Linked DNA regions of Canis lupus familiaris. The protein of the gene in region 3 interacts with the protein of the main gene of each other region in a pairwise test. Links are inferred from orthologs where the notes say so. Each region holds a gene or a part of one and is shown on either strand. Other genes may lie near its edges.

Region 1 (3,080 bases), on a different chromosome or scaffold from region 3:
AGGTGTTCAAACAATCTGGAAGGAGCCTGATGCGGGCTGAACAAACTTGCTGGACTATTCAGTAGTGCTTTCCACCACATGGAGATGCCTCTAACCCCACAAGCCAGAGTCAGCAGACAGGACAGTGGGGTACGTACCCCTCCTCCCCACATCCTGCAGCACCCTCCAGGCTCTCCACCTCTAGCGTCCTGGCAGAGGTGTCTTGGGGTGTGAGGGGTCTGGGTGACCCTGGGCTGAGGTGTCCTGGGCTAGTGCTGGGTGGGGGTCTCGCAGCCATCATCGCCCCCAAACCTCAGCCTCTCTAGACACATGGGCCAGACATGGCCCCCATCTCTTGCAGTTTCTTTCTTTGCTTGAGGTTGTTTATTCTTGATGGTCATTTCCAAGTGATTCTGCATGAATGTGTGGACTTGGAGGAGAGAAAGCAAGCTGGGCATACAGGTGTGTCTCCGGGCACGCTCCCACAGGCCAGCCGCACACATAGCACGCCAGGACAAAGCTTAGCTCATTCAGGATATTTTATTTTCTTAAAGTAGACAATCTTTAACTTTCATACAATCACCAGCTCCTCTTTCCCTCCGTACATCTCTTAAAGTCCTTGGCTGTGATTCCACGCACTGACCTTGGACATACAGGTACCGAACAGAGGCTGAGGGCAAAGGAGATTTGGCAAGGGCTCTGGCGGTGCCTTCCCTCTTGACGGCGGGGGTTCATATTTACATGCGGCCCTGGGCCAAGGTCCTTCGGTGGTGGCGGGTGCCACAGGCCCTGGGACAGGAAGGGCCAGAGTGCGAGGTCCCAGCAGGGCCTCCCTCAGGCTGCGCGGGCTGAGCCTTCACAGGAATTGTCGTAGCTCTCAGCCCGTCTCAGGTGTAGGGCGTGCGGGGGCCGGGGCCCCATTTCTCGCTCCCCCTTTCCTCCACTTGCAAAGCCATGGATAATTTACTCTTTAGATACCAAGACATTTAGCTATTGTTCATTCGCTCCTAGGTGAAGAACCTTCTTTAAATACATCACATTTATTTTTCTGAAATAAAAACGAAGCAGAAACCGCACCGTAACAAGAGGACGCTGCACGAGCTTATGTACAACGCGGCCCCGCGACGCTGCCGTAGGGCGGCCGTCCGCCCCAGTGTCGCTCGGGAGCAGAGGGACAGACTCATTCAGATAACAACTTTTACACTCAGCAAGCCAGACACAAAAAAGGACCACCTGAAAAAAAAACATAGGTTTTGAAAATCTGCATTTTAAAAAAGAATACTCAACTGCATTTGAAATTTTCCGTATTTCTGCGAAACACCACGAGATTTGGCCAAAAAAAAGGATGTCGGAGAAGAAAAAACCAGGTTTTGATTTATAAAACATCAGACTAGTAGAAGAAAAGCTGGAACCCAGCTGGCCTAGTTTGAGACAAATGGTGCCACTCGTGTTATTGTGTGGATTTTTGCTGCATATTTTGAAGCTGTTTAAAAAGAGCTGTGAGTGGCTAGAGGTCTGGTTAGTGCTGTCGTCTGGCCTTGCACCCGGGTTCCAGAACAGCCGTGGTACAGGGCGGGCCAGCGGGGAAGGCGCATGGACCCTGCTCCGGTCCTCCCTCCGGGTCAGCAGCAAGGTCCCCAGTCCGACGCTTGGGCGCAGCCGGCTTCCTCCGGATGACCCAGCCGCCTCTCCTCTGAGTCCCACGGGGACCCCCATGCAGAGCAGGGCCGACTCGGGAAGGCAAGGTGACGGGGCAGGAAGGGCCTGTAGTGAACCTGGTGACAGCGGCCGAAGTCTTCTAGAGGCTCCAGCGCTCCGGGGAACTGCCATCTCCAGACCGTGTGTGTGCGCGTGTGTGTGTCTACCTACCTAGCAATCTATCCATATATATTTATGTTTGCGGGAACGGGGGGCCATTCCTCAGGCCCCCGTCTTCTGCCCCTGGGCTGGGTCTCCCTAGCGCGAGGGGGGGTGTGACACCCCGGGGGTTTCGCCACAGGCCAGCCGGCCAGCCCGGCTCCTCAGCAAAGGCCTATGTACTTGAGATTGTTCTGTATGATGACGTCTGTCACCGCGTCAAAAACGAACTGGATGTTACTGGTGTCTGTGGCACAGGTGAAGTGGGAGTAGATCTCCTTGGTCTCCTTGTTGCGGTTCAGGTCCTCGAACTGCCGCTGGATGTAGACAGCGGCCTCCTCGTACGTGTTCTGGCCCTTGTACTCAGGGAAGCAGATGGTGAGCGGAATGCGGCGGATCTTCTCCGCCAGCAGGTCCTTCTTGTTCAGGAAGAGGATGAGCGAAGTGTTGATGAACCAGTTGTTGTTACAGATGGAGTCAAAGAGGCGCAGGCTCTCTGCCATTCGACTCTGCGGGCAGGACAATTCCGGTGTTAATCAGGGGGTGCAGTGTGGGAAGGCCCCAGGCCCGCAGCCCTCCCGGGAGAAGGCCCCCCGGAGGGTCCCCCTAGTACCCTTCTGCCCGGCAGGCCTTCTCTGCCAGGCCAGGTCTGTCTTCACCTGCGTCCCCTGGGCTCTCGAGCCCCTAAAGTTGCTGGCACCGCCCTCGGCACCTTGACACCTGTTTGTAAGGGGCTGTCCCGCTTAGCTGGCCCCTCCTTTGTGGCGTGGGGCTGCTGCATGGCCTCCCCCCCGCTGTAGGGACCTGTGCCACTCCATACTCACGTGGAGGGCCCCATCTCCTGCTGTCCCGTGCTAGCTCGGGCCTGGAGCTGCCATCACATCACGTCTCTCTCTACGTGAGTGTGGCCAGGCTCCTGCCCCGCCGGCAAGTCTGGCCCTCTTGGGCGTCGGCCTGTCTTCCAAGTCTCGATCCTGTCACCCGGTACCGTCAGTCCTCAGCCCGATCTCTGAGCGGAGAGCCTGCGCTCCCAAGGCCCAAGGCTCCAGTCCGGAGAGTTGAGGAAGGCCCGGACCCCCCTGCCCCTGCCACGCCACTGGGCTCAAGTGAGGACAGCGGCCCAGGAGGCTCAGAGACCCCAGTGGCACTGCCCTTTATTCACACCCCTTCTTTCAGAGGACCTTAAATGGGTTGTAGTGACTGAGTTTTTAAGGAACATAACGCATCTGACTCCCAAGCCTGCC
Region 2 (11,185 bases), on a different chromosome or scaffold from region 3:
GGCTACTCCTGGATTTTTCCTTGCTACTCACAAATTGCCTGGCAAACGCTTCTTTCAGCAACATAAATGACTACCTGTTCTGCTTTACTAAGCTGTGTCCCTTCTGATTAAACTTCAGTATTGTCTTTGGTGATGCCAATATTTTTCTACCCCACGTCACACTGTTTTGATGCACTTATGTTTAGCTTTCTAAATGTTTTAAGAAACATTATTTTACATAAATTTTGAAAAGATCTCGTTCCATGGCCAGGTAGGATCATTGTTATCATTCTGCAGTTTTAACATTTGTCTTGTCTTGGGCAATGGCTGTTTACTGACTCCTTGCTGATTTGTGTGATTGGGTGAGCAATTAGCTGTGAAACTTTAAATGAGTTGCCTCATCTCTCTGTGCCCCAGGGTCTTTTTATACAAAACAATAATATAGGTAGAATAATTTCTAAAGTACACTCCTGCTTAGATTTATTACCTTAAAGTTCATCTACAGACATCTGAATGTCCTCCTAATGACATGGAAGTGAATATTTTAATTAGCCTCTTAAGAAAAAGAGACCAAAAAAAAAAAAAAAAGAAAAAGAGACTACATTTTGTGAAGAAGACATTTTTGAATGCAACAGAATATAGTTTATAAATATACTTTCCAAAGTCTCTCATGTTTTTTCTTCAGGCTTCTTTGTAGAAAGTTTGAAGAGAATGTGATCTTATGACCCATACCACAGGGCATTAGTGTTTTCTACCAAGAAATTTTATTGAAATTGAATAAATATGAGGAAAGCTCATTAAACCTCCTAAGTAAGGGATGCCTGGGTAGCACAGTCAGATAGCAATCGACTATTGGTTTCAGCTGATGGTCATGATCTCAGGGTCCTGGGATCAAGCCACACGTGGGGCTCTGCACTCAGCATAGAGTCTGCTTGAGATTCTCTCTCTCCCCTTTCCTGCCTATCCCACTCGTGCTGTATCTTTCTCTTTCTCTCTCAAATAAATCTTAGAAAAGTATTTTTCACTTAGTAGACTTTTTTTTTCTTTTTTTAAGATTTTATTTATTTATTCATGACAGAGAGAGAGGCAGAGACATAGAGGGAGAAGCAGGCTCCATGCAGGGAGCCTGATGCAGGACTCGATTCCAGGACACCCCCGGGACCGTGACCTGAGCTGAAGGCAAATGCTCAACCACTGAGCCACCCAGGTGTTCTGAAAAATATTTATCTGAAATGGATGGAGAAAATTATGTTTGATGTTCAATTAATAAAAATGACCAAATTTAAAAATTTCTCATATATAGGTAGTTATTTGGAAAAGTGAATAGTTGTTTACTGCAATTAGGTAAATGGTGCTAAGAATGACTTAAAACTCTATTATGTTAGCTTTTATTAAGGCTTGTTGTACATGCATTGCTTGCGTACATTGCATTTATCTTGTAATTTACTAAAAAGGGAAACATATGCTTGAATAAAAGGTTCCCATGCTGAGTTACTTAATTATTTTTCACTGTGGGTTCTATGGGAGGAAAAAAAAATTCACAAATTGGCAGCAAAATGAATTTATACTGTCAGCAAGTACTCTGCTATCCTGTGTCACCAAGTGCTTCTCTACTGTGTACCTTCCTTGTGTTTGCCATCACTTTATAAAAATGTACTCTAATACTTTGGGGAAATGCCCTTGAGAGAAATTAGGGATTGTCCACCCAGTTAACATAAAGCTACAAGTCTCTGGCTATAGAGAATCTCTGTGAAGTTAGCAACTTCACATCTCCCCTATTTTTGGATTAACTGTATTTTTACCTGAAAACTGGAATTGTGTTATGCAGCATTATAACTACTCCCCACATATAGTTATTGAGTATTGGAAATGTGTCTAATCTGAATTGAGGTGTGTTGTCTATATAAAATAAATGCCAGATTTTGAAGACTGAATATGAATAGAAATATGAAATGTTTCAATAATTTTATCTTGATTACACATTAAAAGGCTATCTTATGTACAGGTTAAATAAAGTCTTTTTATACTAATTTCATCTTTTAAAAAAATATGGCTAGTAGAAAATTTAGAATTGCATCCTTGTCACAACTCCTTTGGAAGTGCTCACCTACTGTGGTTGGTTACCTATGGATCAGAATAAGTATTTGTAGTCTCAAAACTTAAGGAAAATTTAATAACTTTATATGCATCATTCCTTCATTTAAAATATTTTGCATGCTGTCTTCAATATGCATCATGAGTATTTCTACTTCATAGCTGTGTTTGTATCCTCTGCCTGCATTAACAAACACCTGCTCCCACCTCCTGCCCCTTGGCTTTAATGTATACACATCTTAAGGTCTCCTGAAAATTTCAGATCATTCTGTAAAGCTATTATCGTTTATTCCACATTGATTTCTCCCTCTCTGAATTTCTTTTGCTTCCATAGAGAATATCAGAAAGCCAACATTTAATGAGATTCTCCCTTAAAATAATCTCTAGCAATGTTAGTGTGTTTCTTAGAAACATTTTGGGTGGGAGGGGTAAGGCATACATTAGTTCTCTGTTTGTAAAACTGATGAGTGCACAATAAACCGTCAGTGATAGCAAATAGCTGGTTAATGTGTCCCCTCATGACCTGTAGGTGTAAGTCATTCTTCTAGTTTCCTGGAGCCTTGACCGCTTATTACTAATATTACAAAACATAGACCTGCGATTTAAGGTTATGCTCTTTTGGTTAAGCCATTTTTTTAAGTGGTGCTTCAGAGAACTAAAAGCCATGACCCCAATGAAAAACAAAGGAAATGCATGATTGCACTTTTCGTAATCTAGAATGCCTCCCTCTGTACTTTTAATCTGTAATGTCTCCCTTTTTTACTTATTAAAAAAAAAATGGTCTTTGAATGTTCAGGATGATGCCCGCCAACTCTTTGTGCTTGCTGGAGCTGCTGAAGAAGGTTTTATGACTGCAGAACTTGCTGGAGTTATAAAGAGATTGTGGAAAGATAGTGGCGTGCAAGCCTGTTTCAACAGATCCCGAGAGTACCAGCTTAATGACTCTGCAGCATAGTAAGTAATCATGACTTCAGAACTAAACTATCATGAATAATTTCTTGCAAGTCAAATATACCTCCAAGTCAGTGCTATTGCAGAACTGGCTGACACATTTCTTGTAAAACTCAGGATATTCAGGATGACAGTATTTGAAAACTTTTCTGGATTTTTTGGTGTGTTTGTAGATAGCATTGCTGTTATTTCCTTTGTGTTCGGAGGTGTCTCAAGAGACTCACCCTTATGTAACTCTAATTGAAACATTCAGAATAGACTGTTGGCAGCATATTTCCAAGAAAGTAAACTGGAACTTTGCAAAGTTCACCCTGAATTTGAGCGTATCTCAAGTTTGTGTGGGGCCAGCCCAAGGGGAGGGGAGCTGATTTGGTTCTTTTCACTAAACTTAAAAGTGCCTGAGAAGAATTATTTGTCCAGTGACAGGCACCCTGCATGAGATGTACCTCTTTTAGAGGGGTGTATGGTGATCCCAAGATGTTTCCTCATTGAGTAAAATATCTCTACGCTTGAAAATTGTCAATTGTATGTGCTCTGTTGCATTAGATATCATTTACAGATAGCTAAGTACAGTATTTTGTAAGAAAAACCTGCCCTGATTTTCTAAGTGGTGGCCACTGAGAGTTCATAAAGCAAAACCTGGTCAGGGAGCTTTCTGCTTGGTGATCTAGCTACAGTAAAAAAAATAAATAAAAATTAAAAAATCAAGTGTTTGTTTCCATAATCTAGCAGACACAGTCAAAAATGTCAGATATGAGTAGCATTAACTGGTCTTAATACATGTGCTCTGTGCTCCTTTTACTTTATTCCATTTTCTTGACAGCTACTGGTGTTCAGGGACACAAATGAGGGTGAGAGAGAAGATGATGGTTACTAGAGAGGACTAGGTAAATACACCCATTTCACCACAGTGAGAAATAGGTTACGGCTCTCCCCAATTATCACTCAGCAGGTCATTGGCTACACATAAGAATACTCAGTTTCTGTTCTGTGATTTAGTGTGAGGGAGTAAATACACCTTACTGTGTAACCCATACCAATTTTTATTAGTATTTCCTATTCTATATATTTTTTTTAAGATTTCATTTATTTATTCTTTGGAGAGACAGAGACAGAGGCAGAGGTTAGAAGCAGGCTCCCTGCAGGGAGCCCGATGTGGAACTTGATCCTAGGAACCCTGGGATCACGCCCTGAGCTGAAGGCTCAACCACTGAGCCACCCAGGCGACCCCTAATCTGTATTTCTAATGCTTTATGACTATGTAAGCTATATAATATATACATATTATTTTGTATGTATTTTCTATATGTATATGTAACATGTTACTGAATATGTAGCTCCCCTCTCCAACTGGTGTCATCTTTTCTTAGGATATATGCCTTGACTCACAGATAGGTCTTTGCCTCCCTGTCTTACATACTTAAAATACAAAATATTTCTTTCAGAGCACTCACAGATTTACATTTGAGGTAATTTTTATTTGTGTTGAAATGATTTTCTGTCTCTGCCACTACACTGTAAATTCAGTGCGGTCTGTTTTCACCCTGTGTGCTTTCTCCATGACACACAGTTGTCATTTGCTATGCTCTTGTTTAATAATGAGTGAATGAATAAACCATACTTTACAGAAGCTCGAAGAGAAATTAGAAGAAAATGATTTACAGGAAGAACACGATTCTTAGACCATATTATTTGCTTTGGCACCACCAGCTCCTGCAGAAAGAGCTAAATGGGAATCACTCATGTTGAGAAGATTGCTCTGAGTAGAGCCCAGCTAGGGGAGCTTTTGCAGTAATTAAGGGGTCCTTCTCAGAGATGATCGGTTGAAGTCACTTTCCCTGTATGATGGGACTTCCTGGACCACTGCAGTCTAATGACCAAGACTTGTCCCGTGTGCTCAAGTATCGGGGTATGCACTGGAAAAATAAGTCATTTTGGTTCCCCAGTATTTCATTACTAGTAGTTCTGACTTCACGATGGCAACAAGGGAGCCACTTTTCAAGAATGAAGGAAGTCCTAGAAATCTTTTTCTCCATAGTGGTCACAGAGCCTCTTGATTTCTGAGTTTTGGGCTAGAGATGGGAGATGTTGCCAAGTTGCCCACTGGGACTATCTAACTACCAATTTACTTGAAATTCATGATCATTTTAAATAATTGGAGTTTTTCCCAATGCCGGATTAATTTGTGTTATTGAAATATGAATGTGCATTATTTTTAGAGACTATTGAGTAGCATTTTTAAGCAAATAAATGTATGGGAGTAATCAAAGTGCATTTTAAATAAGATTAACACACTATTTCAGAGGGACAATTCGTAAAATATTGCCATGTGTTTATTAGATTTTTTTTTTTACAATACTGTATATCATTATATATGTGGAATTAAAAACACAGAGTACTAGGGGATTATCAGCAATGTGATAATAAGATTATTTTAAGTTCAATAAATACAATGCAGATAACTCCAGGTATGCTCTATGAATTCTGGTATCAATATCACATACATATACTTAACTGTCTAAAACACTGTTGATTACTAATTCAGTGTTTCGATAGCTTTTCAACTCCATCTCTACAAATCAAATATTTATTGAGCTCCTTTTGTTTGTAAGATCTGTTCTAAATGGCTAAGGAACAGTTTCAGAAGATAACGTCCATTAAAGTTGTAGTAGTTGGTGCCTCTGTAATAAACACAGATGTGAATCTTCTAAATTATCTTTGACCACTGCACTCTAGTATCAGAAAACACTGTTGGGAAGCTTCCCATTTAGAATCAATTCCAGACTTCTCATTTGAGTTTATGCACAACTTCCTGGGGGCCTTACTTTGTGAGAAGCAAGATCTGACAATTCCTGCCTCCTCATACTGTTTGACTACTCTCCTGATCTGGATTGCATTCTTTTTTTCTGTTCACATCCCTCATCATTCAGATTTCTGTTTACAACCCTCCCCACCCATGAAGGCTTCTTTCACCACTCAGGTTCACATTACTCTCTTCATACCTGGACTTTCTATAACATTATTTACTATATAAAATGACACAGAATAATTTACAAAAATAATCGCATGGTATGACACCACTGCATTTTAGTAGCATAACATATTTGACATTGTTGGCAAAGAGTATTGAACGGGTGGGTGGCTAAAACCAGTGAGAAGTAAAATATGAATATATTTTTTTAAATATTTATTTATTTATGATAGACATAGAGAGCAGAGACACAGCAGGAGGGAGAAGCAGGCTCCATGCAGGGAGCCTGACGTGGGACTCGATCCCGGGACTCCAGGATTGCGCCCTGGGCCAAATGCAGGCACTAAACCGCTGAGCCACCTAGGGATCCCCAAATATGAATATTTATTTAGAGAACCAGTAAAATGCAGAGTAAAAGAGCGTGCGTAGTGTTTTCCTATTTGTAACTTAAAGCTGGCTGAAAAAGAATAGTATTGAATTTAGCCTTTGGCTGGAGATCTACTCATTACTTTCTCAAAAACTTCAGTCTTTGTAACTCCTCAACAAGAGTAATGTCCAGAAAAGAAATACATGCTACTTAAAAAAAGTGTAATAAAGACTTTTAAGAAGCTGACTCCTAGTGTACAATTGGTTGTGTGTGGTTTTTAAGAAATTATTCTGTTTTGTTTCTAACAAGGAGAATTACTAATTCGTGTCCTTAGGAAACAAAGTACACAGTACTTAGAAAATGTTAAAAGGGCTTTGTGGCTGGAGAAGTATACATTTTCATTTCAGTGGGAATTGTATAACATATAAACTTAAATTGGTTGTATTTTTACATCATTACACAGAAATATAAAAATTTCCATTGATTTATGATATTGCATGCATCAAAATGTTTTACTTCTTGATGTAGATGATCTTTAAGGGCTATATTAACTATTATTTTATTTATTTCTTCAGCTATTTGAATGACTTGGACAGAATAGCACAACCAAATTATATCCCAACTCAGCAGGATGTTCTCAGAACCAGAGTGAAAACAACAGGAATTGTCGAAACCCATTTTACTTTCAAAGATCTCCATTTTAAGTAAGTAGCTTTAAAGCATATCATTTACAAATTTAGGTATAAAATACCTTGTTCAGTAAAGAAAGGTGATTAGACAGACAATATTTTGGATGAAGAAGGACAGGAAACATTCTTAGGAATATTTAATTTTTATTTAAGAAAAAATGAACATGCAAATCTCTTGTTTATATTTTCAAAGTGATTTAAATAAAAATAATTTTTAGCTTTTATTTCTAAATAGAAAATATTGCTCTGATATTGCATATTTGGAGAAAGTGTTAACATGTATTCTTAGAATTTTACTGATTGTACATATGCTTATTTATGGAAATGGTAAAAATGAAGGGTACCTTTTAAAAGTTTTTATTCATTCAAATGTTTGCACTTTTTCATGATGAAAAATGTCATTTAGAGTATGCTAAATACTAACTTAATGAAGTTTGAGCAGAGAAGTACTGAATTGTAGCCTGTAGAAATGCAAGGGATCTCAGAACTTGTTTTGTCCAATACACTCATTTCATAATGAATGAGACTCAGGGAAGTTTAGTGAAACATTAATTTTCAGACCTATGTTCCTCTTTTTTAAAGTATGAAAAAAGTTATTGGACTGTGCTTCAGATAGCCCTAATGCTCTGAAACAGTTTTAATGAAGCAGAATTTCTGAAAGCACCTAAAGTTTCCTAGTCAAAGATGAAAATATTCTTGAAGGTCACTGTTACAAGTCGTGGGAAGTACAGTTACATATATGCAACTATACTGATGCAAATGTACTTCTGATTCCTTCTATAAGTATCTTATTTTTTAGGAGAGAGAGAGACAGAGCAAGAGCATGCGTGCACCTGAGGACATGGGAAAGGAGGAGGGGGAGAGAGTCTTAAGTAGGCTCAATGCCCAGGATGGAGCCTGGCATCGGTCTTGATCTCCCAACCCTGAGATCACGACCCAAGCTGAAATCAAGTCAGAGGCTGACCTGACTGAGCCCCCCAGATGCCCCTCTTCTATAAGTATTTTAAATATGTTTATTATCATTAGTCACTAATTTATCCCACTAATTTATCAGTGGTTCCTGTAATTGATTTTCCAGAAAACCAAAATTGAATTTTAATTTTCCATAGCAGCTTCCCTCCACCCTCCCCCAAAAAAAACATTGCCTGCTTTTTTTAAAAAACAGAATTACAATTCATAGTTTATCTGACCATGTAACTTTGTACTTAAATACATGATCAACTTTTTCATCTCCTTTTAATTCCTTTCTGTTTTCGCCAGTTTGTAAGCTGGCAGTGGACATTCTTTGGCTGGCAGTAGCTCTTACCAAAATCATTTACTTTCTTTTAATCTGTTCAGTACTTCTAGGATATTAAATGACCAAAGTGGGGAATAGTAAAACATTAATATTTAAATAGTCTGATAGGTCTGATCTGGGAACTATTATTATTACATTTATCTTAAAGTTATAATTTTAAGGAAACTTCACTGTCAGAATGAGGCTTCAAAGTTTTGGGGGTTTTTTTGTTTGTTTTTACTTAGATTCTGATTTTTTTTTTTTTTGCTTTTTGTTTACTCTTTTTTTAAACACCCTATTTTAAAAGCAAGCTTATATTGTTATGTTCAGCTAATGGCTTTAACAAATACAGTCTGAGGAGAAAATGCACGGAGCTGGGGAGAACGAGGGCAGAAGGAGACTTAGAATGATTCTGCAGGAGTTCCTGTGTTTCTCGTTTTCGTGTTTTGTATTGTAATTCGTTCTTTCATTTTAACAGCTGATGTAAAATTTCGGTTTCGCTTAGTATTTTGTATGATCAGAATTAAATTCAAGAGGAGGCAATAAGGCATTGTAATTTAAGAATACATATTCTCACCTCTCTGACTAGGCGTTTGTGGAAAGTGTCTGCGTGGATCATTTTGCTTTAAGGAATCAACCACTTTACTTTTTGCCAAATAGGGAATTATAGCATCCCTTCTCTTATAAAATTGTAAGATAGATTTCTCTTCCTTTTCTATAGTCGTATAAATGTGAAATGGGTTTTGGAGTACGTTATATGTATAGGGTGGATATGCCTGTAGGGTCATCTGGCTTCGTACCAGTCGGTCTTGGTCTCATAGGACAGTCTGAGAATATCAGAACATCTCAGAATCTTCAATATCCCTGTATACCTTTTCCGTCCCCTCCCCGAAAAAAAAAAAAAAAAAAAAAAGAAACCTAAGAAAACTCAAATTCATTCCCTCTTTGATGCTAGAAAAAAAACTCTCATCTGTTCATCTGAAGGAGAACATATTATTTTGTTCTGTTTTTGGTTAATTTAAAAAAAATCGGAATTTTAAGATAATTCTAATGTGTGAAAAAGGAATACTGCCTTATGCACAGTTATTTGTAACATCAGATTTTAGTCATTTTTGCTCCTTGGCTTAATGAGTTAAGACCAGTGATTCCCAAAGTATGGTCCCCAGATCAGCAGCATCAATTTTGCCCACCTGGTGATTCTGATCTACACTAATGTTTGAGAAGTACTTGTTTAGATGGAAGGTTCTTTGTTTATGACAAATCTATGAATGACCCTCGTTCATTGTTAAAATAAGCTGAGATTTCTTCTGTAGTTAAAATACTGGATTATCAAGGTAAAGCTCCCTTACACGTAACATCCCACAGCATAACTGGAAGACCTAGATCTTGAACAAGGAAATAAGGTTTGTCTATTATCATTTGAAGGCATTTTAAAATATTCTGTAGACGTAGTTCATTCACTCAACAAATATTTATGAAGTATGACAAAGTCTTGTCTTTACATTGTTGGGACAGGAGGAGGCAAGAATGAAGTAAATATTATAATTATCAGGAGGTAATAAATTGCTAGAGTGAGAAATAAAAGCAAGAGGGATATATTCATTCCTAGGGTAGCTGTCGCAAGTTTCCACAAGTGAGGATGGTATAAAGCAACATAAATTTATTCTTTCATAGTTCTGGAGCCTCCAAGTTTGAAATCCACATGTCAGCAGGACTGTGTTCCTTCTAGAAGCTTTACAGAAGAATCTTCTCTTGCTTCTGGTACTGGTTGGAAATGCTCTGCGTTCCTTGGCCTTGGTCACATGGCCTTCTTCCCTGGTTTTCCTCTGCTTCTCTCTCTTTCCTCATATTTTTTACGATAGCAACAAGGAGAAACAAAACCATACTCTGCACACTTTGCTAGGAAATTTCCTCAACTACTCTTCAAGTTCATCTCCTAACATCCAGTACTAGAGCCTTCTAGCAGAGGTTTTGTGACTCTACACCAAGGATTACCTTTTCTCCAGTGTCCAAGAATGTGTTTCTCACATTCCTTCTGAGAACTCCTCAAAAACATCTTTAACATTCACGTATCCTCTAAGGTAGGAAAGGACCCCACCATCCTTTGCACTCCCGAGATCTCCAAAATTGCTACCTTCTGTGTTGTATTTCTAACCAACCATCTTTTCAGAGTAGTCTGGACTTCTCTGTTGAGTGATTCAGGATCCTTCCAGCCTCTGCTTCTTACCCAGTTCGTTCTATAGCCACTTGTCACAGCAGCTCCCCACTGTGGGTCCTAAAATTTATATCAGTCAGGCTGGTCCATTTCAAGGAATTGACTCACGTGACCAGAGGGCTGGCCAGCGCAAGCTCCTAGGGCTCAGACAGGAACTGATGTTGCCATCCTAGGGTAGAATTTCTTTTCCTTCTAGGAAGACCTGTTTTTGTTCTTAAGGCTTCCAGCTGACTGGAGGAAGTCTCCCCACATTATCAGGGATAATCTTCTTTACTGAAAGACAACTGATTATAGTTGTCAACCACAGCAGTGATATCCCTTCACAGCGGCACCTACGTCAGTGTTGGACTAAATAACTGCTTAGCCAAATTGACACCTAAAACCCACCATCACAGGAGGAAATTGTGGGAGGGGGTGAGATGGGTTTGGTTGTTACTTTATATTGAGTGGTCAGGATATTCGTGCCATTGGATCAAAGAAGTTACCCAAAATAAAGTCTTTTGGATAAGGTTATCTTCAAACTGTTTTCCTTGGCAGTTTAACAGATGGTAACCATTTAATTTCTTTTCTATTTTCCTTATTTGATCTTTACCGTCAGCTCTCTTTTTTTAGGTCTTACCCGTTTTAATTTATTGTGTGGTAG
Region 3 (11,285 bases):
CCTTAAACACCTGCACGCATCTTCCGGGACGTGGGGAACACGGACATGAAGTACAAAAACCGTGTGCGGAGCCGCATCTCCAACCTCAAGGACGCTAAGAACCCTGACCTGCGGCGGAACGTGCTGTGTGGGGTCATAACCCCCCAGCAGATCGCGGTGATGACGTCGGAGGTGAGTCCTGCTGCAGGGGCGTGGGGGCCACCGCTGTGGGCAGCGGGTAAGGACACTGCTCCTCGCCCAGGAGATGGCCAGCGATGAGCTGAAGGAGATCCGGAAGGCGATGACCAAGGAAGCCATCCGAGAGCACCAGATGGCCCGCACGGGGGGCACCCAGACAGACCTGTTCACCTGCGGGAGGTGCAGGAGGAAGAACTGTACCTACACACAGGTGGGCGCCCCAGCGACCTCACGCACCCGGAGCCTGCACCTGCGCGCGGTGCTGTGGGGCGGGGTCCACACCTGCACCTGCACACGTGCCTAGTGAGTGGTGCCCGGGCTCCTCCTCCCTTGCCCCGCAGCCCTGGGCCCCAGGAAGCAGTGTCTCAGGTGGTGCTTTGCTTTGGGAGCTATAAGGGGGGGGCCGGCCTCACCCAGCATGGAGGGCCCAAGCAGGAGGGTGGGGGCAGTGTGCTGCCTGCAGTGGCCTCAAGACTGTGCTCAGACCCGTGGATGTGGACACGGATGTGGACCTCGAGATGTGCCAGGGGTCCCCGGTGAGGAGAGGAGGTGTGGGGTCCCCCGGGGGGTCGAGGGGCTACAATGCCAGCGTTGCCCGAGGATACGGATGGTCTCCTCACACTGTGACTCTCGGGAAGACCTGCTCCAAGTGACTGAGCCCCTGGGGCCCGGGTGGCCCCCCCTCACCGCAGCCCTCCCCGCAGGTGCAGACCCGAAGCTCTGATGAGCCCATGACCACCTTCGTTGTCTGCAACGAGTGTGGAAATCGCTGGAAGGTAGGTGGGCGTCTCCAGCCTGTGGGGTCTTCGTGATGTGAAACGGGGGGCAGCCCTGCCTCCGGGCCCGCGGGGGTCCCAGGGGTCTTGGGTTGACGCCTCTCATCCGTCTGCTGCAGTTCTGCTGAGCCCTGCTCGAGATGTGTGCGAAGCTTCGGGCTGTGGCCAGCACATTGCCGCGGCCTTCCCCGCGTCCTGTCGACAGACACAGCTTCTCGAGACCCGCCCTGAGCCCACCCGAGCACCCCACGGGGCTGTGCCCCCGGCACCCCCGCCTGGCGTATACCTCTTTTCTTTTCCCCAAATTATTAAATGTTTCTTTTTGCCATCGTGCTGTCCTGGCCCTTGGCTCTGGTGGACCAGCAGTCCTGGGCTGTGAGCTGGGTCCCCCAAGCCCCACGTCCGGCCCTGCCCCCTTCCCTGGGACCACTCTCCTCCTGGGGATCAGGTGACACTTGGGCTTGGCCCTGATGGAACAGAGATGGAGGGAAGAGCCCACTGGCCCTGAGAGGGGCCCTGGGATTCCAGAACCCCGGGGGCAGCCTGGCCGCACGCAGGGGCACGCACAGACACGGGGTCGGGGAGGTGGCCTTCAGCACACGGGACCCCAGGGCTCACGACCTCCCCAGGCCCTGTAGCTCAGGGGTCCCCCAGCCATCCATGGCGACCTGTCCCCACCCTGACTCTGTGCCTGACGGTGGACTGGGTGGGGTGGGCCCCGCACCCGCTGCAGCTTTGAGTTGCTTCACCTCCCAGAAATTCAGGTAATGGGTGGCAAGCACGAGCCTCGAGGAGGCCAGGAGGACGCCCCCATGCGTCCTCACGGGGGCCAAGCCCCTTCTGGGGCTGCTCCTGGATCTGGGACGGTTGTTCTTTCTTGAGTCTCCCCCCAAATGTGGAAAGAAAGGAGAGACGTTTGCTTTAAAAATATCTTCAATAATAAGATCCTATTTTGGATGAAGAAGGAATGGAGATAAATATGAAAACATCTTTTTCTTTTTTTGATAAAATACAGTAAGGATATGTTTCCAGGTTTAAAATTAATGAAAATATAAAAAAGAAACTGGCTCCTGTTGCCTTGAGCCTAGTTCTGAGGTTCTGGGTCTGATCTGGGTGCAGACAGCGTGAGTTGGAGGGTGTCCTTGCGTCACAGCTCGACAGTACAGAGGCTCTGCTTCCCATCTAAGGCGTCTGTCAAGGTCCCCGGCTGCCTGGGGAGGCTTCTGGATCCGTGACCGCTGCCCCCCCGGGGGGCCCCTCTCCCTGCACAGGAGCCCCGGCAGGAGCCCCCGGCCAGCCAGCGTCCCGGAGGCCCTCACACCTGCCCCTCGGCGGGACCTCGGGGGCTCCCGTCCGGGGCCGCCCCCAGGGGTGCTGCGCCTGTGGGCGTGCCGGACGCCTGCTGACACACACACTGGTGCGGGTCACCGAGTCTTTGCCCCCCGCCGGGGTCCGTGTCGGTGCTGCTGTGCCGGGCGGCCTAGGCCTCGTGCGAGGACTGGGAGCTCCCCCGGAGCAGCAGGGCGCGGTAGGTGGGGGAGCTGAGGAAACGGGGGTAGGAGTCCCGGTGCATGAGCGTGTAGATCTGCAGCTGCGCGTCGTCGAAGGTGTGCGCGGACGGCTCCTGCATCTTCTTGTTGATGCCTTCCCGCACCCGGGAGTCCAGGCTCACCTGTGGGGCAGGACGCGGGGTCAGGGGCCCGGGGTGTCCCGCCCTCCCCCCGCCCTCGGTCCCCAAGGCGGTGCACCTCCTTGGGGGACAGGATGGACACGTAGTCCTCGTAGATGAGCCTGGCCTTCTCGTCCACCACGTGCTGGTTGGCCTCCGCTTTGAGCTCCTCGCACGCCAGCCAGAAGAGCATGTTCTCCTCGCTGTACTCCGTGCGCAGGAACTCCCGGAACACGCCGCGGCCCGCCGGGCTGTGCATCAGCTTGTCGAACGACTGCGCCCAGCTCCGCACCTCCTCGGGGCTTGGCGTGGCGCTGTGGGCAGTCCCGTGGGGAGTCAGGCCCGCGCCCCGCCCGCGCCCCCCCCCCCCGCCCGCGCCGGCCGCACCTACCACGCCTCACAGCTGGGCAGGGGCTGCAGCTTGTTGTCCCGGGAGGCCCGCCACGCACGCCGCCGCTCCTCGTTCCTGGCGCAGACGGAAGGTGGCACGGCCTGCCCGGCGCACCCGGCCTCGGCCCACGCGTGTGCACGCACGGGCCCAGACGCGGGGCGTGAGGGCGCGGGCCGGGCCGCAGCCGGGCAGCCCCCCACCCCCACCCCTGGGACCCAGGCTGCACTCCAGCCCCACCCCTTCCTCTGTCTCCCTGGCCGTCCCCCGCCCCGCGCCCCCAGAGGCGCTGCTCCTGCTGCAGGAAAGCCCCGGCCGGCCCTGCCTGCGTCCGTCCCTCCCCGGGGTCACGACCTCTCAACCCTAGCTCCCACACAGGCCTCCGTTCCTCTCCTACCCCACCCGCTGGACCCCACAGCCGAGTCCTCTGCGAGGCCCGATTCACGACCCCGTCCCCGCTCAGGCCTGGGTGCTCACGGCTCAGCGGGTCCCCCTCCAGGTCCCCACAGCACCCAAGTTGGGCCAGGCCTCTGTGGCACGTGCACGCCCCCGACAGCCCTCCACAGGCCACAGAGCCGGTGACCGTGGGGCCCACCCTAGGGAGCTGCTCGGGACGCTCTCCCCCTCGCCCCCAGGCCGGGGCCCTGCTCGGTGTCCCCCAAGGGCTCCTTGCTCCGTAGGCCCCCGGGGCCAGCTCCGGCTGAGCACACAGGCGGTGGCCTGGCCAGGTGTGCACACGACACGCCCTTGGGGGAGCCGCCGGGCACGAAGGCCTACACGGTGTCGGGGCAGTGGCCACAGTCAGCAGGCCCGGCAGCCCCTGCGTGAGAGCCGTGGGCAGCAGAGGCGTCCTGCCCTCGGGTGGCCCCTGGGAAGGCACCGGAGGGTCTGCGGGCAGGACGCTGGGCCCCAGGTGTGTACCCCTCCCCTCCCCCATCCCCACGTACCAGGTGTGTACACCCCCGCCCCCCCCCCCCCCCCCCGCCGTCCCCACGTACCAGGAGCAGCTGCAACAGCAACACCAGCACAAGCAGCAGGGGTTGCGGCTGGGGGCAGCCGGGGGGGCCGCGTCATGACTGGACATCGAGGGGGGCCGGCCTGCCTCCTCTGGCCCTGCGTGCTGGCGACACGGGGGCCTCCTCAGCTCCAGCCCAGAACCTGGGGCCTGCACACCTCCCCCCGACTCCCCTGGTGTCACCCTTCCGGCCTCCCAGGCAGTCGAGGGTCCCCCAACTCCTCGTCCCCCCGCCCCGGTTCCCACAAGGGGGCAGAGGCAGGGGTGGAGGTGGTGCACCTGCTTCTCAGCCTCATGCGGGGTGGGCATGGGTGGGTGGAGGAGGTCGCCCGGGCTCCGTGGTGCTGGCTCCGGGACCCTCACCACAGCCTGGGGGTCTGAGAAGAGAGGTGGGGGTTCCCGCTGAGAACCTGAGACGACAGTCTCTACTTGCCTCTCCCTCCGCCCAGGAGCCCGAGGGGCCTGCTCCCCTGCCCCCACCTGCACCGGGACTGCGAGCAAGGGCAGGGGCGGTGAGGAGGAGCCAGACAAGATCTCCACAGGAGGTTCTGGGACACCCCCGTTTGCTCGGTCCCTGGGAAGCCGGAAGTCTGGGTTCCTCTTTCTTGGTTTCCGGCTCCTGGCCCCTCCCAAGGGGCCTGGGGGGCCCCAAGAGTCTGGGGCTATCAGCCTAATGCTCCCTCCATTCTGGGTTTTCTGTAGGGAGTGGGCGAGGTGGGGAGGGCTTGCCCCCCCCCAGGTGCCCAGATCTGCCCTCAGCCCCGGAGGGTTCCAGCCTGTTCGCAGCTGCCCAGCCTGCAGCCTGCGTGTGGGGCAGGACTTGAGGGTCTGGGGGTGTGGGGAATGCAGCAGGGCACAGTGAGGAGGGCCAGGCGCCTCGTGGGGGATGCAGGGCTCCTGAGGCCCAGACGCTGCCCCTGGCACCCCAACCCCCAGCGGGCACCTTACCACACCCAGGGCCTCCCAGCCTCCCTTCCCCCAGCCCCACCAGGCGGTGGAAGCCAGTGCAGCCTGGGGTGCCAGTCAGGGAGGGGAGCGGGGAGGAGGGCAGCAATGGGTCGGGGTGTCCAGCTCCCAGGGTCAAGGTGCGGGATCCCCAGACGGGGTGCGGGTCGGCATTGTTTACAATGCCTGTGCCCACGTTTCAAGGTGCAGGCGTGCAGGGGGCACTGGGCCCTGAAGCCCCCAGCGGGGGTGAGGAGCCCGAGCAGCCCCCCAGCCCCCCCCTTCCGTCCCCAAGGCCAACCACGGATCCCAGAGTCCATGCGGATCCCAGAGTCCACACCTGGGTGGCCGATCAGTGCCCCAGGGGCAGTCTGAATGCTTTCCCACCACAGCACCTGCCTCTGCCTGCCCTGGCCGGGGTGAGGACCCCAGGGCCCGGCTGCACCCCCGCACAGCCTTTGTGACCCCCCAGGCCTGCCCCCACCCCCGTCCCGGTGGCCAGCAGGCTCAGGACTTGCTTTCACTTCGTTTTCTCATGTAATTATCACATCACCCCTGGGCCTGTGGCCTTTCAACCCCCGCCTGGCCCACGTGGCCTGCTGGCTGCTGGGGTCTCGCAGGTGGGAAGGAGGGAGCGGCGGGGATGCCGGGGGCGCCGGGAGCCGTGCTCAGAGGTGCAGGGCCTGACTCAGGCACGCTCAGGGCACCCTTGCCTCTGGGGCCTGGGCACGCAGAGGCCCTGCCGTGACCCAGATCTAGGGCAGAGTGTGGGGTCCCCTGGGCTGAGGGCCCTGGCCAGCTGCCTGCTTCCCCTGAAATCATGGACATGGACGGGGAACCCTCAAACTGGGCCCCAGCCCGCCTTTCCTTCAGGGGTCTAGCTTGTAGGGAAGGGAAGGGGTGTGGCAACCCCCGAGGTCTGGTAGCCAGGCAGAGAACTGCTCTTCCTCCTCCGCACCCCTACCCGCTGCGAGTGGGGGCAGGGCCCCATCCCCCTCCACTCCCTGGCACCCCAAGGCTCTGCTCTGAACTGGAGGAGGGGCCAGGTCTGAGGGCGCCCACGTGCTGGGGGTCCTGGAGTGGATGCCTACACTGGCCCGGGGCTGGCGGGGTCTCCTGTTCACCCGCTGTCTCCTGAGGTCGCCCGGGGTGTGCACAGGGCTCCTGCCCCTCCGCCTGGCAGCTGGAAAGGGGCTCGGTCCCCTTTCCCAGCCCTTGGGCTCTGGCCCCCAAGTCTGGGATGGGGGAGGCTGGACGGGCAGCGAGCCTGGCCTCTGGGGACCGAGGCTCCCTTGGGAGCTGCTGCTACTCTGCTCCACAGAAGGAAAAAGAACGTCCCTGAGCCCGCCCAGTCCAAAAAAAGAATAAGAAAATGTGACAATCCCAGAAAAAAATGCCATAACCTTTAGGCGGAGGGTTGACAGGGGCTCCTTCCCCTGCTTCTGGCGCCCCTGCCTCCCCTCGGCCGCCCCCCGCCCCGCCCCCGCCCCGAGCGATGGGTGGGGCGGCCCCGGCCTGGGCCCGACCTCTGTGGCCCGGGGACCCTCGCCCGCCCCCAGGGCCGCGGTGCCGCCGACCCGTCTCCCTCCTCCTCCCGCCGCTGCGGGGTCTGCCCGGGGGGCGCGGCTCCGACTCGGGCCCGACGCCCCCGGGGCCTGGCCGCGCGCCCCACTCACCATCGGCCCAGGGGCGAGGCGCGGGCGGGAGGGCCGGTTCCCGCGGGGCCCCACCCGCTGCCGAAGGGCGCGCTGCAGCGACCCGGGTCCGCGGGCGGGAGGCCCTCCGCGGGGTGTGGAGGCGGCGGGAGCCCCGGTCAGCCCGGCCAGCCCCGAGCGAGCGGCTGCCAGGCGCGGGGCGGGGGCGCGCAGGGCGTCCCGCCGGGCCCTCCCCACCGGGCCGGGGGCGGGAGGCGCGGAAACCGGGGCTCTTCCGGCCCCCCCTTGAGCAATCACTTCCCCGGGCTCCGAGCTGCAGAAAGGGGAACCGGTGGCGGCGCCCCCTCCCCCCGCGCGGGGCACCGGCTCCGCTCCCGCCGCCGCCCGGGTCCACGTGGGCCCGCGGTCCCGGCGGCGCGGTCCGGGCTCCAGCCGCCCCCCCCGGCCGCCGACCCCCCGCGCGCACTCACCGGCCGCGCTCCCGGCCCCGCCGCCGCCGCAGCCCCGCGCACAGGTCCGGCCGCCGGTCGGGGAGGGGGCGCGGGCCGCAGTGCGCAGGCGCGGGCCGCACTTCCCCAAAGCGCGGGGCCGGGACTTCCTCGCGCGGGGAGGCGTCCGGCCCGCCCCGCCCCGCGCACCCCCGCCCCGCCCCCGCCCCGGGCTCCGCGGCCTCCCGAGGAGGCGGGTCCCCGCACCTGCAGCCCCGGGCGCTCCCGCGGGGGCCCGCGCCCGCCCTCCCGCCGCCGCGCGCCCCAGGGGCCCTCGGCCCTCCCCGGCCCCGGTGGTCGGCGCGCCCCGGCCCTGTCGAGGGGCCCGGCCGCCCCCGCCCCCGCCCCCGCCCCCGCCCCCGCGCCCAGGCCCCGCCGCTGACCCGGTCACTAAGCACAGCGCTCCGGGACCCCCACGCGGAGGGCCGACCTCCCACGCGCCTCGCTCGGCGGTGATGGGTGCCCCAGAGGTGGGCCCGGCTGCGCGCACGGACCGCGGGAGCCCGGGCTGGAGGTGCGCCGGGGGGGGGGGGGGGGGGGGTGCCGGGATGCTGGGGTGCCGGGGTGCTGGGGTGCCGAGGTGCTAGGATGCCAGGGTGCTGGGATGCCAGGGTGCTGGGATGCCGGGATGTTGGGGTGCCAGGATGCTGGGGTGCCGGGGTGCTGGGATGCCGGGGTGCTGGAATGCCGCGGAGCTGGGATGCCGGGATGCCGGGGTGCCAGGGTGCCAGGATGCTGGGGTGCCGGGGTGCTGGGGTGCCGAGGTGCTAGGATGCCAGGGTGCTGGGATGCTGGGGTGCCGAGGTGCTAGGATGCCAGGGTACTGGGATGCCAGGGTGCTGGGATGCCAGGGTGCTGGGATGCCGGGATGTTGGGGTGCCGGGATGCTGGGGTGCCGGGGTGCTGGGATGCCGGGGTGCCGGGATGCCGGGGTGCTGGAATGCCGCGGAGCTGGGATGCCGGGATGCCGGGGTGCCGGGGTGCTGGGGTGCCGAGGTGCTAGGATGCCAGGGTACTGGGATGCCGGGATGCAGGGTACTGGGATGTCGGGATGCCAGGGTACTGGGATGCTGGGGTGCCGGGATGCCAGGGTGCTGGGATGCCGGGATGCCGGGGTGCCGGGATGCCAGGGTGCTGGGATGCTGGGGTGCCGGGGTGCTGGGGTGCCGAGGTGCTAGGATGCCAGGGTGCTGGGATGCCAGGGTGCTGGGGTGCCGGGGTGCTGGGATGCCGGGGTGCTGGGATGCCAGGGTGCCAGAGTGGTGGGATGCCGGGGTGCTGGGGTGCTGGGATGCTGGGGTGCCGGGATGCCGGGATGCTGGGGTGCCGGAATGCCAGATGCCAGGTTTTTGGGATGCTGGGGTGCCAGGGTGGTGGGATGCTGGGGTGCTGGGATGCCAGATGCCGGGATTCCGGGATGCTGGGATGCTGGGTTGCCAGGATTCCGGGATGCTGGAGTGCTGAGATGCCGGGGTGCTGGCATACTGGGGTGCCGGGGTGCCGGGATGCCAGGGTGCTGGGATGCTGGGATGCCGGGGTACTGGGGTCCTGGAGTGCTGCAATGCTGGAGTGCTGGTATGCTGGGGTTCTGGGGTGCCAGGATGCCGGGGTGCTGCGATGCCAGGATGCTGGGATGCTGAGGTGCTGGGGTGCCAGGATGCTGGACGCCGGGGTGTTGGGATACTGGAGTGCCAGGATGGTGGGATGCCAGGGTGTTGGGATGCCAGGGTGCCCAGATGCTGGGGTGCCCAGATGCCGAGATGCTGGGGTGTTGTGGTACTGAGGTACTGAGATGCTGGGGTGCCGGGATGCTAAGATGCTGTGATGCTGGGGTGCCAGGATGTTGGGGTGCTGGGATGCCGGGATGTTGGGGTGCCGGGATGCCGGGGTGCTGGGGTGCCAGGATGCTGGGATGTTGGGGTGCCGGGGTGCTGGTGTGCTGGTGTGCCGGGATGCTGGGGTGCTGGGATGCTGGGGTGCTGGGGTGCCAGGGTGCTGGGATGCTGGGGTGCTGGGATGCCGGGGTACTGGGGTGCTGGGATGCTGGGGTGCCGGGATGCCAGATGCCAGGTTTCTGGGATGCTGGGTTGCCAGGGTGGTGGGATGCCGGGGTGGTGGGATGCCGGGGTGCTGGGATGCTGGGGTGGTGGGATGCTGGGGTGCCGGGATGCTAGGGTGATGGGGTGCTGGGATGCCGGGATGCCAGGGTGCTGGGATCCTGGGGTGCCTGGATGCTGCGATGCCGGGGTGCTGGGATGCTGGAGTGCTGAGATGTCGGGGTGCTGGGATGCCGGGGTGCCGGGGTCCTGGGATGCCAGGGTGCTGGGATGCTGGGATGTCGGGATGCCGGGGTGCGGAGGCACCGGGATGCTGGGATGATGCGGTGCCAGTGTGCTGGGATGCTGGGATGTCGGGGTGCTGGCGTGCTGGGATGCTGGGATGTTGGGATGCTGGGGTGCCAGGGCGCTGGGATGCTGGGGTGCTGGGGTGCCAGGATGCCGGAATGCCAGGATGCTGGGGTGCTGGAGTGCTAGGGTGGTGGGATGCCGGGGCGCTGGGATGCCGGGGTGCCGGGATGCCGGGATGCTGGGATGCTGGACTGCTGAGCTGCCGGGGTGCCGGGGTGCTGGGGTGCTGGGATGCTGGGATGCTGGGGTGCCAGGGTGTTGGGATGCTGGGGTGCTGGCATGCCGGATGCCGGGATTCCGGGATGCTGGGATGCCGGGATGCCGGATGCCAGGTTTCTGGGATGCTGGGGTGCCAGGGTGGTGGGATGCTGGGGTGGTGGGATGCCGGGGTGCTGGGATGCCTGGTTGCTGGGGTGCTGGGATTCTGGGATGCTGGGGTGCTGGGGTGCTGGGATGCCAGATGCCGGGATTCCGGGATGCTGGGATGCTGGGTTGCCTGGATGCCGGGATGCTGGAGTGCTGGGGTGCTGGGATGCCGGGGTGCTGGGATGCTGGGATGCCGGGGTGCTGGGATGCTGGGGTGCTGGGATGCTGGGATGTCGGGGTGCTGGCGTGCCAGGATGCTGGAATGTCGGGGTGCTAGTGTGCTGGGATGCTGCGGTGCTGGTGTGCTGGGATTCTGGGATGTCGGGGTGCTGGGGTGCCGGGGCGCCAGGATGCTGGGGTGCCGGGGCCCTGGATGCCAGAATGCTGGGGTGCCAGGATGCTGGGATGCTGGAGTGCCGGGATGCCGGGGTGTGGGATGCCAGAGTGCTGGGATGCCGGGGTGCTGGGATGCCCGGGTGCTGGGGTGCTGGGATGCTGAGGTGCTGGGATGCTGGGATGCTGGGGTGCCAGGATGCCAGATGCCAGTTTTCTGTGATGCTGGGGTGCCAGGGTGGTGGGATGCTGGGGTGCTGGGATGCCGGGGTGTTGGGATGCTGGGGTGCCAGAATGTTGGGGTACTGGGATGCTGGGGTGCTGGGGTCCTGGGATGCTGGGATGCTGGGGTGCTGGGATGCCGGGGTGCTGTGATGCCAGGGTGCTGTGATGCCAGGGTGCTGGGATGCTGGGATGCCAGATGCCAGAATTCCGGTATGCCAGGATGCTGGGGTGCTGGGATGCCTGGGTGTTGGGATGCTGAGGTGTGGGGTGCCAGGATGCTGGGATGCCGGGGTGCTGGGATGCCGGGATTTTGGGGTGCTTGGATGCCGGGATGCGTTATCAGAGCGGGGAGGATGGTGCTGGAGGCGCTGTGGGGCGCCGGGAGATTGTAGGCCAAGCCCGAAGGGAGCGTGGGACGCGGTCACGGAGGTGACAGGCCTGGGGGCCGGGGAGCCCCCTCATGTTGTGTGCCCAGGGACCCTGGCCGGCATGCCCGCAGAGCTATCTGGCAGCTCGAGTGGACAGGCTGGCCCGGCCCGGGCAGAGGCTGGAAGCCTGTCCAGCCGGAGGTGGCTGCTTCTCACTTAGCCTAGGTCACCGTCGGGGGAGGCAGGTCCTCAGAGACAGGCCAGCATCTGTCACACAGCCAGTCTGATCCCACAGTGACTGGCGTGGTGTCTACACCCACCTCCTGAGAAATGTGGGGGGCAGCGGACGGTGGGGGGAGGTCGGCACACCTCTCCCCCTCATGCCGTTCATTGTGCACTCCCTCCACCCTCCCCGCCCTCCAGACACTGTACAGTCTCCGGCCACTCCCCTGCACTCCGCTCCCCTCGCCCC

Evidence for each region.
Region 1: the proteins of RGS19 (region 3) and GNAZ interact in a two-hybrid assay, tested with the Homo sapiens proteins (2 studies listed by BioGRID). The link is inferred for Canis lupus familiaris from reciprocal best matches to the Homo sapiens genes RGS19 and GNAZ.
Region 2: the proteins of RGS19 (region 3) and GNAI1 interact in a two-hybrid assay, tested with the Homo sapiens proteins (2 studies listed by BioGRID). The link is inferred for Canis lupus familiaris from reciprocal best matches to the Homo sapiens genes RGS19 and GNAI1.

The regions. Positions count from the first base shown.
Region 1 is NC_049247.1:27,903,148-27,906,227, reverse strand, and holds the end of GNAZ (guanine nucleotide-binding protein G(z) subunit alpha), read right to left. Parts: intron 2,346-3,080; coding exon 2,001-2,345; 3' UTR 501-2,000; downstream 1-500. UniProt on the Homo sapiens protein: Guanine nucleotide-binding proteins (G proteins) are involved as modulators or transducers in various transmembrane signaling systems.
Region 2 is NC_049239.1:20,210,825-20,222,009, forward strand, and holds part of GNAI1 (guanine nucleotide-binding protein G(i) subunit alpha-1), read left to right. Parts: intron 1-2,869; coding exon 2,870-3,027; intron 3,028-6,937; coding exon 6,938-7,066; intron 7,067-11,185. UniProt on the Homo sapiens protein: Guanine nucleotide-binding proteins (G proteins) function as transducers downstream of G protein-coupled receptors (GPCRs) in numerous signaling cascades.
Region 3 is NC_049245.1:48,358,075-48,369,359, forward strand, and holds RGS19 (regulator of G-protein signaling 19), read right to left. Parts: upstream 7,150-11,285; 5' UTR 7,096-7,149; intron 6,770-7,095; exon of another isoform or gene 6,650-6,769; coding exon of another isoform or gene 6,647-6,649; intron 6,324-6,646; exon of another isoform or gene 4,403-6,323; 5' UTR 4,335-4,402; coding exon 4,305-4,334; intron 4,131-4,304; coding exon 4,009-4,130; intron 3,089-4,008; coding exon 3,014-3,088; intron 2,937-3,013; coding exon 2,702-2,936; intron 2,626-2,701; coding exon 2,434-2,625; 3' UTR 1,869-2,433; downstream 1-1,868. Other genes in the region: TCEA2 (transcription elongation factor A protein 2), read left to right, coding at 17-171, 242-388, 882-953, 1,073-1,081. UniProt on the Homo sapiens protein: Inhibits signal transduction by increasing the GTPase activity of G protein alpha subunits thereby driving them into their inactive GDP-bound form. Binds to G-alpha subfamily 1 members, with the order G(i)a3 > G(i)a1 > G(o)a >> G(z)a/G(i)a2.